Linked DNA regions of Coturnix japonica. The main gene of each other region encodes a partner of the protein of the gene in region 3 in a complex. Links are inferred from orthologs where the notes say so. Each region holds a gene or a part of one and is shown on either strand. Other genes may lie near its edges.

Region 1 (4,834 bases), on a different chromosome or scaffold from region 3:
ACAGAAGAACCTGCCTGGGATCCGTGCTGGGGAGGTGAGAAGCTGTGGGCACCCATTGGGTGGGAGATGACAAACACCCACCTTCAGCCGGGACTGGATGGAGCTGTTCCTCTGCGTCTCCCTGTTTCGGTAGTGCCCGAGCCCCTCCAGTTTCTCAGGTCGGTAGAACACCCCTGAAGCCCATTTCAGAGCAGCTCCTCTCGCTAACTTCTCAGCCTTTTCCACCTCTGGCCACTCCTCATCTAGGGAAGAAGCCAGGGGTTAATGAGCAAAACGAAGCCTCTCCTTAAGGGGCAGGAAAGGCCCCTGAGGCCAGAAACAGGAAACCATTGGGAGCGGATGTTCAAGCACACCCAGATGTGGGAAACTGGACAGCAGGGCAGCAAGGAGACATCCTGGGAGGGCTCCCTGACACCCCATTACCACGGATGGGGCCATGCAGTGAACAGGCTGCCCCGAGGAGCTGTTATCCAACCCACCAGCTCAGGGTGCCAACCTGAGGTGACCCAGCACGACAAGGACACGTTGCCCACGGGGGTCTCGTGCCACCTGGGAAGGCAGCGAGTCAGAAGGTGGCACAAAGAGCTGCTGGTCCGTGTGCCACTCCTGGAGGCTCTGCCTGAGGGAGCCACGCTGGTACAAGCACACCCAGGCTCCTGGACTCCTTGGTGTCCCAATGGGCTGCATGGGGCTGTCTTCAGAGTCCAAATAGAAGTGTCCAAAGCCAAGCCAAGGGCTGAGGGCTGAGACACAGCTCATCTTCAGGGCTCATTGTTTCCCCCCTTCCGAGAACTGGGGCTCCCTGCACCCCCCCGGGAGATGCCACCTTGCCCCCACCTGAGCTCCCCCACAAGGACACCGCTCGGGCTCGGGGCTCCCAAAGAAGAGCAGCGCATCCCTGGAAGGCGGGGAGCTCAGAGGGAAGGGCTGCAGCGTGGGGAGACGGTGGCAAAGCAGGAGATGGGGGAGCGTGAGCAGCACGGAGCGGCAGCCCTCCTCCCCTGCCCGGCACCGCGGGGGCTGCAGCATCGTCCCCGTTACCTGTAGGGCTCGCGCAGCGCTCGTCCTTCGCCGACATGCCCATGGTCTCAACGCCGCTGTGCACATACGAGCGGGGCTGGGCCGAACGGAGGAAGCCGACGGTCGTTTCCTCCGGCACACGGCGATCCTCAGGGGCTCATTGTGTTCCCGAGGACGCGCTCAGGATGTCGGGGCCGGAGGGGGAGCAGGGGAAGGAGGAAGGACATAAAGAGCGGCCACTCGGTGCGGGGCTCCCTATGGGGCAGGGTGACCATGGGTGCCCCCCATGACTGCTGGGTGCCCCCTATTGCCGCTGAGTGCCCCCTATGGCTGCTGAGTGCCCCCCATGGCCGCTGGGTGCCCCCCATGGCCGCTGGGTGCCCCCTATGGCGTTGGGTGCCCCCTATGGCCGCTGGGTGCCCCGGGGCTCTGCTACGTGCAGGATCTGAGCTGCCCTGTCGCTTTGTCTGAGCTGTGGGCACCCCGTTGGATGCCCAGCGGGGGTTCGGTGCGTTCATTCATTACGGGAAGGGGGCGGTGATGGCTCGCAATGCTCGGGGACACGGGTTGGCCATGAATGCTTTGGTTAACGGGGAATGGGATATCCCGGGGCCGCCGGGTAACCTCCATAGGGTTACGATGAGGCAATAGGGCATTGCCCGTCCAGAGCAGCGGTGGGCTCGGGCTCGGGCTCAGCCCCGCAGCCCTGTGAGCAGCCCACCATGGGGCTGGGACCCCCGGCCCCGACCCCCGCCCGTCCTCGCCCCCCCACGTGGTTTCCACGCCCGCCCCACAACGGAAGCTCCCGTCATACCCCCCGAATCGGAAGCGGAAGCGCGGCGGGCCTGGAGCCGGCGGCGGGCAGATGGCGGAGAGCGGGCAGCAACCGGCCGGGGCTGCGGGAGGAGGGAGCGGGGGAGCCGGGGCGCCCAGCCGGCACGAGAAGAGCCTGGGGCTGCTCACCACCAAGTTCGTGTCGCTGCTGCAGGAGGCCAAGGACGGAGTGCTGGACCTGAAGCTGGTGCGGGGCCCGTGGGAGGATGGGGAGGCCCGGCCGGGGGCATCGATGTGTGAGGGGGGGGAGCGTGGGGACGGCGGGTCGAACGATATGGCTGCTCTGCTGCTGCTGTACGGCCTGCACGCTGTGCCCCTCCGTGCCCCTCTGCTTGTGCGACCCTCCAGTTCTGTTCCCATCAGACAGAGCAGCACTCTGCTCCATGCCCTGCAAGCAGAATGAAGGCAGCCCTGGGTTATGAAGCTGTGCTGGAAGTACAAGGCTGGGGTGGTCCCCTGGCTATGCTGTCCTCTCCTATGGCAAACTGCTGTCTACTTGGATTAGGGCAGAAGGACGATGTTCCCTAAGCTGTCAGTTCAATGGGGGTTATGTTTGTTAGTGTGGTTTGTGCGTGGTCACTGAAGTCCTGCAGTGTGAGAGGGGCAAGTCATTTGTGCATTGCCCTCTGTGTGACACCACTGTGTGACTGGCAGCAGTTAAAGTCTTGTTACTTCTGCATTGCCGTCTGGTTGGTGAAGCAATATCGGTGCCTCCTGAATGTGAGGGGAGGGTCCTTCAAAGGGTCAGGATCATGGGATCATTGGGGTTGGAGGGGGCTGCTGGAGTTTATGCAGCCCAGCCCCATTGCTGAAGCAAGTCCCTGGATTAGAATGCACAGGAAAGCATCCAGGTGGGTTCTGATACCTACAGAGAAGGAAACAGCACAGCCTGTTCCAGTGCTCTGTCCTCCCTGTATCCATTTCCAGAGGACTCATGACCTCGTGTCCATTCTCTATCAGCTGGCATCAGGTTTTAGGTATAAAAAACCTTTTGAGTGTCAGCTTTGCTGAACTGCTGTCGTTCAGGCAGCCCTCTACCTTCAGATTCTCATCTCTCTTTACACTCGAGAAGCACTGAATGTTTAGGCTGCCAGGCTTGTAGCCCTGCCCTGCTGCTGAGGAGCTGTATGGGATGGTGAGCAGATAGATTGGTCAGAAGTTAATCTGATAGGCAGGAAGGAGAGAAGCATGACTGAGAGTTCGGAGTTAAGTGTCTGACTTCTATTGCAGGCTGCAGACACCTTGGCTGTGCGACAGAAACGACGGATCTATGATATCACGAATGTTCTGGAAGGGATTGGGCTGATTGAGAAGAAATCAAAGAACAGCATCCAATGGAAGTGAGTGATGGAGTTGAAGTCATTCATGGGTCCCTTCTAATCCAAGGTCTTGTCTTCTGGGTGCCTTTCTGCTGGTTTATCAGTGGCCTGTGCTGAGCTGTGCTGATGGTAGTAATGAGGAATGTTAAAGTATGTATGGCACATTGCTTTTATAGCAGAGCTCGTATTTTGGTGCAAACTATTTCCATGTCTCGAGTTAGAAAAGACACCTTTCATGGTGCTGGAGGTGGGGGATGGAGGAGGATGCACTGCATGGTGCTGTGCTGGAAGATGGTGTGAGGCTGCAGGGCGGGTACAGGTGAGATTCTCTGGCCTTGATGTGTGATAAAGGGGGAAGGAAGGAAGGTGGCAGCTCTCAAAAGCCGGGTGTTTTGGTTGCTCTGTTAGCTGATGCATGTCACTGCTGTTTGCTCTGTGCAGAGGGGTGGGTCCTGGCTGCAACACGCGTGAGATTGCTCACAAACTCATCGAGCTGAAGGCAGACATAGAGGACCTGGAGCAGCAGGAACAGGAGCTGGAGAAGCAGAAGATGTGGGTTCAGCAGAGCATCAAAAACGTCACAGAAGACGTGCAGAACAACTGATATCCTTTTGTCAGCCGGCCGTTCCTCAGGGCTGAAAGGCAGGAGCTGGGGCTGGGCTGGCAGTGCTCTGCTGGGGGCACCTCATGTTGCTGCTCTGAAAGGATAAGGAGGTCATCCCCCCCTTGGAAGCAGATGAGCACTGCCCAGTATAGACAATAGCTTCCTTTGCAGCGTTTCTTGTGCTCAGAAAGGAAGGAAACTCCAGGTGCCCTTTGAGTTCCGTCTTCGCAGGAAACTGCAGCTGTTGTCCTTAACCTTCCAAACGCTAGCTTATGTGACACACGAAGATATCTGCAAGTGCTTCACAGGTGAGGAAATGGTGCTGCATCATAGAGATATAATGCTGCAGTCCTGTCAGCCTATGCCAGCTGCTTTCCTTTCTCTAGGAAAGAGGAGGCAGCACATCTTGACTTAGGGCTGAGCATGGGCTGCCCTCAGCTGCATCATGCCTTGTACCAGGAGGAGAGCAAAGAGGAGGGAGTGAAGAGCAGGACAGAAGGGAATGTGCTTCTTGTTGTGACTTCACATCCTTGAGGGGCAAAAGTGGCAAAAAAGCTGCAGGAGTCTGTTTCCTCTCTGTTGGCAATTGCACTGATAGCTGCAGGGCCAGAAATACCCCAGTGCAGTTTGGCAGCCTTCTCAGCTGTAGCAGCGTGGATTCAGAGCTGCTTTCTGCTTCAGTGAATGCCTGCCCTCTCCTGACCCTCTGCAACCTACATCTGCTTGCTTGCCTCAGAGAGTTCAATGGGGAAGCTGCTTATCCTGCCCACCCCAGCTGTGCATAATCTCACCCTCATCTGACTGCTCACCTCTTCCAAGCTGTCTCATCATCAGCTCTTCCGTTTCTCATCTTTCCTTTCTTGCACTGTCCTCCTTGTTCACCAGACTTTATCCTGCTTGAGTTCCTGCTTTACTGTTTCTTCTGGTTTAAGGTCAGGCTTCTTGGGGACGGGGGTTGTGTTTTCAGTTTGACAGTGCTTGGGGCCAGATAGTTTGTAACAGCCTGTGGGAGCTTCCTGGAGACCAGCAGACAGATTATTGCTTGGTTCATTGAGCA
Region 2 (4,907 bases), on a different chromosome or scaffold from region 3:
TGTACAGTCAAGGTTCTGGTAAAATGTTGAATTAATATGAAATAACGATGTATATTATGTTCCAGGGTGAGCGCTGTGGTAGTGGACTGTCTTTTGGGGTTTTTATTTACAAAACTCTGTGTTTTTATGTCTTTATTGAATCTTTAAGTTTGAACGTGGCACTTACTGTCTTTCATTTATTTCATGCAGGGTACGGATGCTTCTCCTGAATGTGAATTATCTGCTGGTTCTCAGGTGCTTTGTTTTCAGTACATCATTGTGCTTCAATTGTGGTATCCTTCTTATGTGTCCCTTTACAATTTCTTCTTTTCTCAGATCTATGTGATGAAAATGCACGTATGTATATGTGCCTTGTATTTGTGTTCTCCTTAAAGCCCTGCAGAACCCCTAACTATATACATATTTATATATGTATATTATTCATATATATATTCATTTGTTTTTAGCAGGTCTATTAGAGAGCTGTCACAAATTTAACCATATATGTAGATGTATGTGTGTGTGTATGTATGTATATACATATATATATACACACACACACACACATATATATATATATACTTACCTGTGTGTGTATATATCTGTAAGTATTCATGCAGAAGCAGCCACCCTAACTGATACTTGTGTGTTTGCTTCATCAGCTTCTTGGGGCTTGTGCAGCTTTTCTCCTATGGTACAAGTAGGAAGTTTCCGCTTAAGCCTTCAAAAAGGAAGAGAATCTGTTCAATTTCTGTTTGCTTAATTAGATCAAATTTGTGAGTAATAGATGGGATCTACTTAATGAAGAGACTATTTACATCAAGGAAAGGTGCTGAAACGTATTAGAACTTAGTGGTGTCAGTAAACTGCATTTATTACTGCTGGAATTGCAGCCTGCTGGAAGGAATGAGCGGTGTTTGATTATTTTAACTCAGTATTTTAAGAACACTTTACACGTTAGGTATCCTCATGTAAGGGGTAACTTACCTAATGTTCACTTTTCTTTAAGAACAAGCCAAAAACCTCTGCTTAACATTAACTGTAACATTTCTGTTCACAAAGGAGCGAGAGCGCTTTCAAATAAGGCCAATGAAAGCTATTGATGTTTTCTTAACCCACCTCCCTTCAGGCTCTCTCAGTTGATACCACAAGAAGGAAAGAACGTTCTGAATTCTCCCTGCTGTTTCAGGTAAGGACTCTTGTGGCATTTCCTCATGTGAGGGAGATGTTAATGATGTTAGTGTCGGTTAGTGCTGGTACTGGTGGAAAACATTTCATATCACAGCTTGGCCTTAAGCTTATTTCAGTTCTTAAAGCAACTCTGGAGCTGGTAACTGTTGTCATCTCCTGCTTTATCCTGTTCCATCTGTGTTGTGCTACAAGTGAAGCAGGTGGGCTGACATCAGCAGTACCAGGAGGACACGGGCTGTGTTCCGTGCTGCGTTCTGTGCTGTTGTTTCTCTCACACAGCGATACCTGTGGTTGTACCATCTCTTGCTGTGCTGGCACAGTTCTCCTTGTACCTGAGCCTTATTTGGGAGCCCACCTCATTTCTGAGGAGCTGAAGACCATCATTCACCCCTTAGTGAACATAACTGGGACTTACTGAGGCCCACACAGTTAAGGTTGTGCTTTTACCACAGTTGTTTTGCCTCAATTCACTACGTTTCTTAACATTTTGATACAAAACCGTAGTTTCTTATCCAGAAACAAAGCGGAATCCTGTGGTGCCACTCGGGCCCGCGTTCCCCCCATCCCCGCCCGTTGCACCCTGGGATGGCAGGCGGCGCCGTCGCGTTGTTATGTCGTTATCGGGCGGGGCGGGGCTGAGCGCCGGGGCGTTGGGATTCGAACTCGCGTCTTCAGCCCCAGGGGCGGCCGCGCAGGCGCAGTGAGAAGCGAGAGCGCTGCCCCCTAGCGACGGGGCGAGGCATGGCGGGAGGGGAGGAGGCCGAGAGCGAAGCGGGGCCCGGCGGGGGGATCCCCACAGCACCGTCACCGCCGGCGGAGGAAGGAGAAACGAGGCAGCGCTACGAGGAGCTCTGCAGCAGCCTCAACATGGACGAGCGAGCCCGCTCCGAGGCCTGGATCAGCTACCAGAGCATGAAGCGCAACTACACGCTGGAGGTGCGAGGGGGGCGGCCTGCGGGGTCTGAGTGTGTGTGTCTGTATGTATGTATGTATGTATATATGTGTGTGTGTGTGTAAATGGGGGTAACGGCCTCGTGCCGACACGAGTGGCCGCTGAGGGGCAGCGGGGCGGGATGTTGTGGTTCCTCAGTCTGAGAGTGAGGGTCGGTTGTGCTGGTTGGAATCCACTCGTGTTTGTAGCCCCTGTTGTGTTGTGTTGTGTAAGAGACACAGAACCGTGTTTGTGCCATCCCGCATTTGTGCACAGAAGGACGTTTAGATAAAAAGGAAAGCTGGATGTTGTTTATTTCCTCCTGTTAGTGTCAGATCAGTGCAGAACATCGCTATGAAGGGCAGCGGTGACCCCATGGCCGAGCCGTGCCATGACGTTTCGCACCGCACATCACACGCTGTCACTGCTGCCCTGTTGCTGTCAGCTCTGTATGCCCTATATGCTCTATATGCCCTATATGCTCTATATGCTCTATATGCGGTGCAGCCGTGGGCACTGCACAACAAGGAGGCAGCCCTGGTGGTGTTATTGCCGCAGTCCATTTGTGGCAATGTGCTCCATGTCTCGGTGCCCAGCAGCTCACAGGGGGTTGACATGCATCATGTTCTGCTTCGCAGGGCAACGAGCTGCACTGGTTGGCGTGTGCCCTCTATGTGGCCTGCAGGAAAGCCATCCCCACCGTCAGCAGGGGGACAGTGGAGGGCAATTATGTATCACTGACCCGAATTTTGCGCTGCTCCGAGCAAAGGTAACTCAGTTTAACCAATTTAAAGCACCTTGAGGAACACAGAAATTAAGAACGAAGTCTGGATGTCTTTGTTAGATTTGTTATACATATTTGTTATATAGATTTGTTATATTGAGTTTATACATTGGGGATCTGTGTGCTGTGGCTCACACAGGTAGGGTGGTTGTCTCTGAATTGTCTCAGCTCTTCCTGGTTTGTAAATGAGGAGCTGGCTCTGAACACTTCAAACTATAATCATCGTGTTTGCAGTGCTGCTTTTACAGGTAGCTTGGAAAGTTTTAGTTGTACTTTTGCTGTAAATAAATGTATGTTTATAGCGTGTTTCTGTGAGAATAGGAGCAAACAAAAGCCAACGCTCTGAGCTCTAACCTGTTCAATGTCTTCAGCTTGATTGAGTTCTTTAACAAGATGAAGAAATGGGAAGACATGGCAAACCTGCCCTCCCAGTTCCGAGAAAGGACTGAAAGGCTGGAGAGAAACTTCACTGTTTCTGCAGTGATTTTTAAGAAGTACGAGCCCATTTTTCAGGACATTTTCAGATACCCTCAGGAAGATCAACCCCGTCAGCAGAGAGGAAGGAAACAGAGGTACAGTTCTGTTATGTCCAGACTGATGTTCGGCTGTTGCTGTTACAAGAAGCTGCTTGGTTGTTCTATCTGCATTTTAACTTACTTCCTTAGTGGTTCTTTATGGTACCAGAGTTGGTCTGTTGGCCTTCATTACAGCACATGTACAGTTCTGCAGTTAGTTGAGTGAGCCCTGCTAGTCTGTTTGCATAGCAGAGCAGGAACTCAGTTTGAAGGTTAAGTCAGAATTATCCATTCCAAATTCTTATGTGAAATGTCTAAGCTTTTAACATTTAACACCATTCCTTACATAACCTGGTGGAGTAACCAAAGAAATGAGTGCAGGCTGATAAAACTACTGCAGAAATTGAGAACAACACCTCACTGTGAGTGAATTTGGCCTGAATGAAAGAATTCTCAACTTCAGTATGTGGTAGGGTGGGTACAGGACTCCTGATGGACAGGAGGGCCTCATGGTTAGGACTAGTGGAGGAACCTGGTGCTGGTAAACAGCTGTAGTGCAAAATTCTCCATAGTATGTAAAATTTTATACAGAAACACAAAACACTTCAGCAAAGTGTGTAGGTGAGGTCTGTGAGCAAACAGCTTATAAAACCCAGTGTGCTGTGTGACGTGTGCCTTGCAGGACGTGCACATGTGCTTACATTGCTCACAGTACTTCAGAAGGCATCCCATGTGTGCTGCTTTGTTGGTGATGTTTGAATCGCTGCTGGCTGAGGCTTCAGCTGTGTCTGCTGTGAAGCTCTGAGCAGCTACTGCATTATTTCAGACCAGTTCTTACTTTTGTTATTTTTTGAGGGGGAGGGATACAGTTCAGATTTTAGCTGCTCTGTGGCAAAGCAGCTCTTTGAGAACGATGGGATGTCTGTCCATTGTAAGTCATTGAGCTTCTTGTGTTTTCCCCCCAAAGGCGACAGCCGTGCACAGTGACTGAAGTTTTCCAGTTCTGTTGGGTGCTGTTTGTTCATGCGAAAGGTAAGAGATCTGAAAGGGGCTGAATACCACAAACCCCTTCTTGTTAGTCTGTATCAGTCTGTAACCGTGAGCCAGCTGCAGGCCCTTCAAAGAAAGTGCCTCCTTGGAGCAGTCTGAACGAATGCACCTGAATTCCTGCAGCTGTTTGTTTTCCCAGCTGTCGGAGGTGAGCACTGTGCCCTGCCAGCCTGGTAGCTTTATCTGAAATACTGCTCCAGGGTTTGCTGTATTTTGGCGATTTAGGCTGTAATACTAAAAGAAAATCAGCTCAGAGTTGTAGTGAATTCATATTTTGATAGTTGTAATTAATGTAAATTATTGCTTTATGTTCCCTAGGAACAAAATGATTTTAATTTCCTTATAAGTTTCAAATAACAGTGATAATACATAATGGATTCTGTTCTGTAACACAGAACTGTGTCATGAGGCTGTAGCTGAGGGGACTTTCGAGGCACTCTCACAGGTAGCACTTGGA
Region 3 (4,740 bases):
GCACAGCCATCCTTCAGCAGAGGGTACAGCCCCTGGTGAGGACACAACCTGCAGTTTCATGCCCCACTAATGCCACAACACGTGGTGCAAGCACAAAGCAAAAATGAGCAAAATTCACTTAAAAGCCATCTGCTTGGCAATTTCCTCTTCGCCTAGGGCCTTTACATGTTGGCCTAAAGCTCAGTGCAAATGCTTCCAGGTAGGGAATCTTTTCTGGCTGGCCTGAAATAAATCCATGCAACAAAGCAATGTAACATAACATGCTGCTCGCAGTGTTTATCCTGCCAATATCTCAGAGAGGAGGCCAGATGACTCCAAAAGAGCACTTTTACCCTCTCCAGCAGTGCTTAGCTGAAAGGTGCAGGTAGCAGGTGCACCACAGATCTTGCTCACAGGGTCCATAACTAACACTCCTATTGCAGACTGACTGCCTAGGGCAGACAAATGGGCCACAGATACCCACGTTCAAGGATCTGGATTGTTTGCAGTGCAAAACTATCCAGCTTCAAAAAGCTGGAGTCTGGCTTGGCCATGATGGCAGTGGGCATCAGGACTAGGTTGGCTGGCAGAACAGGACATAAAGAGGGGAAAATAGGCAGCAACTGCTCTGCTGTAAGAAGGTAGAAGGGCATTGTTATAAGCTTCCTCAGGAAGTGTTTGATGTAACACAGATAGAAAGCTGTCTAGGTCTGACACCTCCACTTTGTTGACAGAGAGTCAAAGTCCAACGCTCAGACCCTGTCCTTGCCTGACTTACCTTTTGGTCCTCCTCTTTGGTCCAAGGGCCCTTAACCAAGTCTGGATTCAACACCCTCAGCCACCGGTACTGACACTGCTGGTCACTGCGGTTCTGGGGAAAGGAATCAGAGCAGATATACATTAGACTGGAGGCTCCAAAAACCCCTGTAGAAACACAGCAGTCCTCACACACACAGTCTGCAACATGGAAAAACTACAGATGCACAGAGAATGCATGCTATGGATATAGTACAGGGTACTGGGTATAGATACAAGGACAGGAACCCCAATGTCTCACTCCAGCTCCCAATAAACTCACACCCTCTAAGCAAGAAGGATGTGTCATCCTGCCCTAGAGGAACACTAAATTTGTTCAACAGTAGCAGCCACAGAACAAAGTGCCATCATACAAGGTGTTGCATGGAGACAGCCAGTGCCCTGAGCACAAGAAACAGCATGCAAACAACACTACAATTCCCAACCAGGCAAAGGGGCACTTACAGGAAAGTGACTGGCCAGGAACTTCCAGTCATTCTGTCCATAATGTCTTACTAACATCTTCAGCTGCTCATCCTGCAAGGAACAAAGACATCCACTTTCACATACACTGAGCAAAATATGTCACAGTCATCACTCTGAAAGCAACAACATCAAGATATGTTAGATATTCAGATATTTATTAATCGTTGAGCTTTTTATGTCTGCATTACAAGGAAGAGGATACTTAAGTTCTTTATCAGTGTCCCAGTGCACAGAAGCCAGTGGGAACACATTTGGCTCAGAGCTCTGTACTAGGGCAAGTTCCTGGTGTGTGCATGATGAGAGCAGAGTACAATACAAACCCAGTTGCTGTGGTCACATACAGGCCCACACTGAGTTTAGTTCAAACTATGCAGCCAGAGCTACCTGCTTATCCAGCCCCAGTATGTCCCTGACCAGGCAGCCTATCTCCCAGCTCTCATACTGCCTTTGCCTGGCCAAAGAGACCAACTGTTTTAAGTACATCACCACTAACCAGGCAGCCCGCTGCCTTTCTACACTGATAGTTCTACAGCACTTCTCTCACAAACCCTACACTACAGGGCTTCCTTGCCTGAGGGCAAGGAAATGAAAGATCTTGTGGGTGGGCAAACAAAGGTAAGAAACAACTCCCTGCCCAACACAAGCCCAAGATTTTGATCTCTGCCCAAAGGCCACTCTTACTCCATATTCAGAGCTCAAGGAAAATGAAATGTTTTGTAGTTTTTCACAAAATAAAAAGACTATGAAGGGACCAGAAGAAATGCAGAAAAAACGCCAACTCATTTCAGGCTCTTTGCCACAATCCTAAAGGTCCCAGCCCTGTCCACATTGACTTCAGAAGAGGGCATGTGCACTGCATGAATCAGCTCCAGGCCTCTGCCACCCTCTAGCAACTGCTGCAGGCAGCTGATAGCTTGCTGTAGGCCCAGGTGCTGAAGTAGTCAGAGCTCTTTGCTCCCCAGGCTTCAAACTCACCTGACCTTCCTCTCATCAAGGCCTCAGCAAAACAGACAAAGGGCCTTCCCCAGCAATGAGACACTGTGAGTGGGTGTTGTGGCAGCAGGCAAGGAGCAGGATAAGGTGCTCACACTGAAGGCCTACCCAAACTCTACCAATAGCCCTATGAGCAGTGGCTGCCCGGCCCTCACTCACCTCCTCCTGCGTCCACTTGACCTTGCACCTGCCATCCCGCTGCTCGGGCACATCCGAGTCGGTGTCCTGGCAGTGTAGCTCATCCTGATCCTCACTGCAGAGCAACAAGCAGAGCGTTATTGCCTCCCCTGGGCAAAGCACAGCACTCCCCCCACACACCCGGCCTGCAGGGCCCTGACCTCCAGGACCCCTCTGCGTGCGGGTCAACCCCACATTAACACAGAGAAAGGACAATCCTTCGGTTCCAGCCCATCAGTGAGGGCTCCGTGAGCCCAGGCCCCGCTCCATCCCCCTCCATACAGCTCCCCAGCCCTATTCGTTACTGCTGGGGTACAGAGGGCACCAAAGCAGCGCACAGCGAGGCTCCCACAGGGCCGGGACCGCTCTCAGCCACCGGGCCCAGCCTGAAGGCATCACGAAGAGGCGGGCGGCGGGCCAGGCTCTGCTACCCCATCCATCCACACCGCTCAGGGACACCGAAACCGCAAGACCCCATAGACCACAGCCTCCCCCCCATTGAGAAGACACGGAACCATCCGCACCCCGGGGGGCTCCACTCACCCTCGGTTGCGGCGCGCCATGGCGGCGGGGCCGGGCGGCGGCGGCGGCACTTTCCTATCTCGCGCCAACGGCTGCCCCCCACCCCGCGCGGGGCCGGGCCGCGCATGCGCACTAAGTCAGCACCGCACAAAGACGCGCGCGCGGGAGGGCGCCCTCCCGCCTGAGTGCGGCCACCACAGAGCGGGACAGCACCAGAATGAGCCTCCACCGCCTTAATGCCGGACTAACAGAATTAACCCAACTAACTTGCAGCCCTCCCCCCTCCCAAGTGATTTTAATGAGAGAATTAGCCCGTTAATTAATCCCCAGCACTATAAAAGCGCTCCGAGCAGCGCTAGTTAAAGGAAGGGCTGCGATCCTGAAAGAAGCCTCTGTAGGAGCTAAAGGCAAGTAGTGCTCGTCTTATTGCCTAGGTTTTTCTCTGTTTAGATGCTATTTAAGGTTTCATTTAAGGATGTTTCCCTTTGGGATGATCATATAACTGTCCTAAGTAACCTAGGGAGCTTTCTGCTGTGACTCTTGACGCTCCAATGTGATGTGATATAGATATTATGTTATTTAGGTATGATGTAATTTAGGATGCTGTAGTGTCCCCAGGTCACCCTGGTATAGCTATGTTTGTAAGGTCTCTATGCTACCCCTATTGGGATGTAGCCTGGCTCTACCTGGGATAAATGCTCTCCTGACCTCAGGAATGGAGATAAAGCCTTTCTGATGGCCACCTCAGTGTCCCCTGCAGCAGAGATGCTTCGAGGCCCCTCATACACAAAGCTAAGAGCAGTGCTATGTAGGTTGAGTGAGCACAAACCTAGGAGTGCTGCCTTGCCCCGTGCTCAGCAAGGGGCCTGAAAAATCATTCCTTGGTGCTGTGGTTTGGGCCCTGTGTCCTGTTAGGAGATGGGGTGGGGAGGGTGCCCTGCCTGGATCTGAAGGGCTGCCCTTAAACTGCGTGTTCCAACAGGGACTCCTGGTTCCTCCAGCCCTGCGCCATGCCGTCCTCGCAGCAGCACAGCACCCTGACCATTAAGGACCTGCTGGACAATGGATTTGTGGCTGGGGCCTCTGGACATACCCACTTCTCTCCTGTGTACAGCTACTACCTGGACTCCAGTAGTGCCCCAAAGCAGAGTACCTGGGAGCTGCTGGCAGATGTGGACACCACGAGGGGCAGCCCTGTGTGTATGGTGGCACAGCCCATGGGCAGTGGAGTGAGGGCTGGCCTGGGCTCCTCGGACCTCAGCTTCCTCTCCTTCTGCAGGAGCCCTTCCAGCCCTGCCATCCTCAACCTGTCAGCTGTGCCCTGTGAGCTGCCTGCAGGGCCCGGCTCCTTGCTGGATGTAACATCAAGGAACACCTCCACACCGTGCAAAGCTGGGAAGCGCCTCAAAGAGAGAGCGCTGTCCCATAGCACGGAGCTGCTGAGTGACCTGCTGTCCCCTGGGAAGCCCCCAGCATCCAGGTGGGAGATCTCAGACATCAAGCCCCCTCTGGATGCCAGCCTGCCCCTCGATGTGAGCTTGCTGGGGTGCTCCAAGCTGGACACGTCGCTGCTGGGCACCCCTGTGGTGCTCCCTTTATGCTGGCCCAGGAGGGACGTGGCTCTGCTCCCTGAGGCCCAGCTGGGTGATATGGAGCCTGGCTCTCAGGCCCCGTGATGACTCTCAGCGCTGACTGTGGTGTCTCCGATCACCTCCATGCCAAAGAACAGAGTGCTCTCAGCTTTGTGGCCGTGCTGCTGTTGGGTAACACGGTGAAATCTTTCTCTTC

The links. The genes of interacting proteins can lie anywhere in the genome.
Region 1: MYBL2 (region 3) and E2F4 share a complex: the UniProt entries of both Homo sapiens proteins name them as parts of the DREAM complex. The link is inferred for Coturnix japonica from reciprocal best matches to the Homo sapiens genes MYBL2 and E2F4.
Region 2: MYBL2 (region 3) and RBL2 share a complex: the UniProt entries of both Homo sapiens proteins name them as parts of the DREAM complex. The link is inferred for Coturnix japonica from reciprocal best matches to the Homo sapiens genes MYBL2 and RBL2.

The regions. Positions count from the first base shown.
Region 1 is NC_029526.1:1,551,958-1,556,791, reverse strand, and holds the start of E2F4 (transcription factor E2F4), read left to right. Parts: upstream 1-1,838; 5' UTR 1,839-1,885; coding exon 1,886-2,041; intron 2,042-3,084; coding exon 3,085-3,194; intron 3,195-3,614; coding exon 3,615-3,776; intron 3,777-4,041; coding exon 4,042-4,085; intron 4,086-4,834. Other genes in the region: EXOC3L1 (exocyst complex component 3-like protein), read right to left, coding at 82-242, 1,042-1,084. UniProt on the Homo sapiens protein: Transcription activator that binds DNA cooperatively with DP proteins through the E2 recognition site, 5'-TTTC[CG]CGC-3' found in the promoter region of a number of genes whose products are involved in cell cycle regulation or in DNA replication.
Region 2 is NC_029526.1:4,022,850-4,027,756, reverse strand, and holds the start of RBL2 (retinoblastoma-like protein 2), read left to right. Parts: upstream 1-1,911; coding exon 1,912-2,106; intron 2,107-2,739; coding exon 2,740-2,870; intron 2,871-3,256; coding exon 3,257-3,457; intron 3,458-4,367; coding exon 4,368-4,432; intron 4,433-4,907. UniProt on the Homo sapiens protein: Key regulator of entry into cell division. Directly involved in heterochromatin formation by maintaining overall chromatin structure and, in particular, that of constitutive heterochromatin by stabilizing histone methylation.
Region 3 is NC_029535.1:3,104,635-3,109,374, forward strand, and holds the start of MYBL2 (myb-related protein B), read right to left. Parts: upstream 3,105-4,740; 5' UTR 2,994-3,104; coding exon 2,974-2,993; intron 2,507-2,973; coding exon 2,413-2,506; intron 1,312-2,412; coding exon 1,240-1,311; intron 851-1,239; coding exon 758-850; intron 1-757. Other genes in the region: uncharacterized protein LOC107322882, read left to right, coding at 3,963-4,628. UniProt on the Homo sapiens protein: Transcription factor involved in the regulation of cell survival, proliferation, and differentiation. Transactivates the expression of the CLU gene.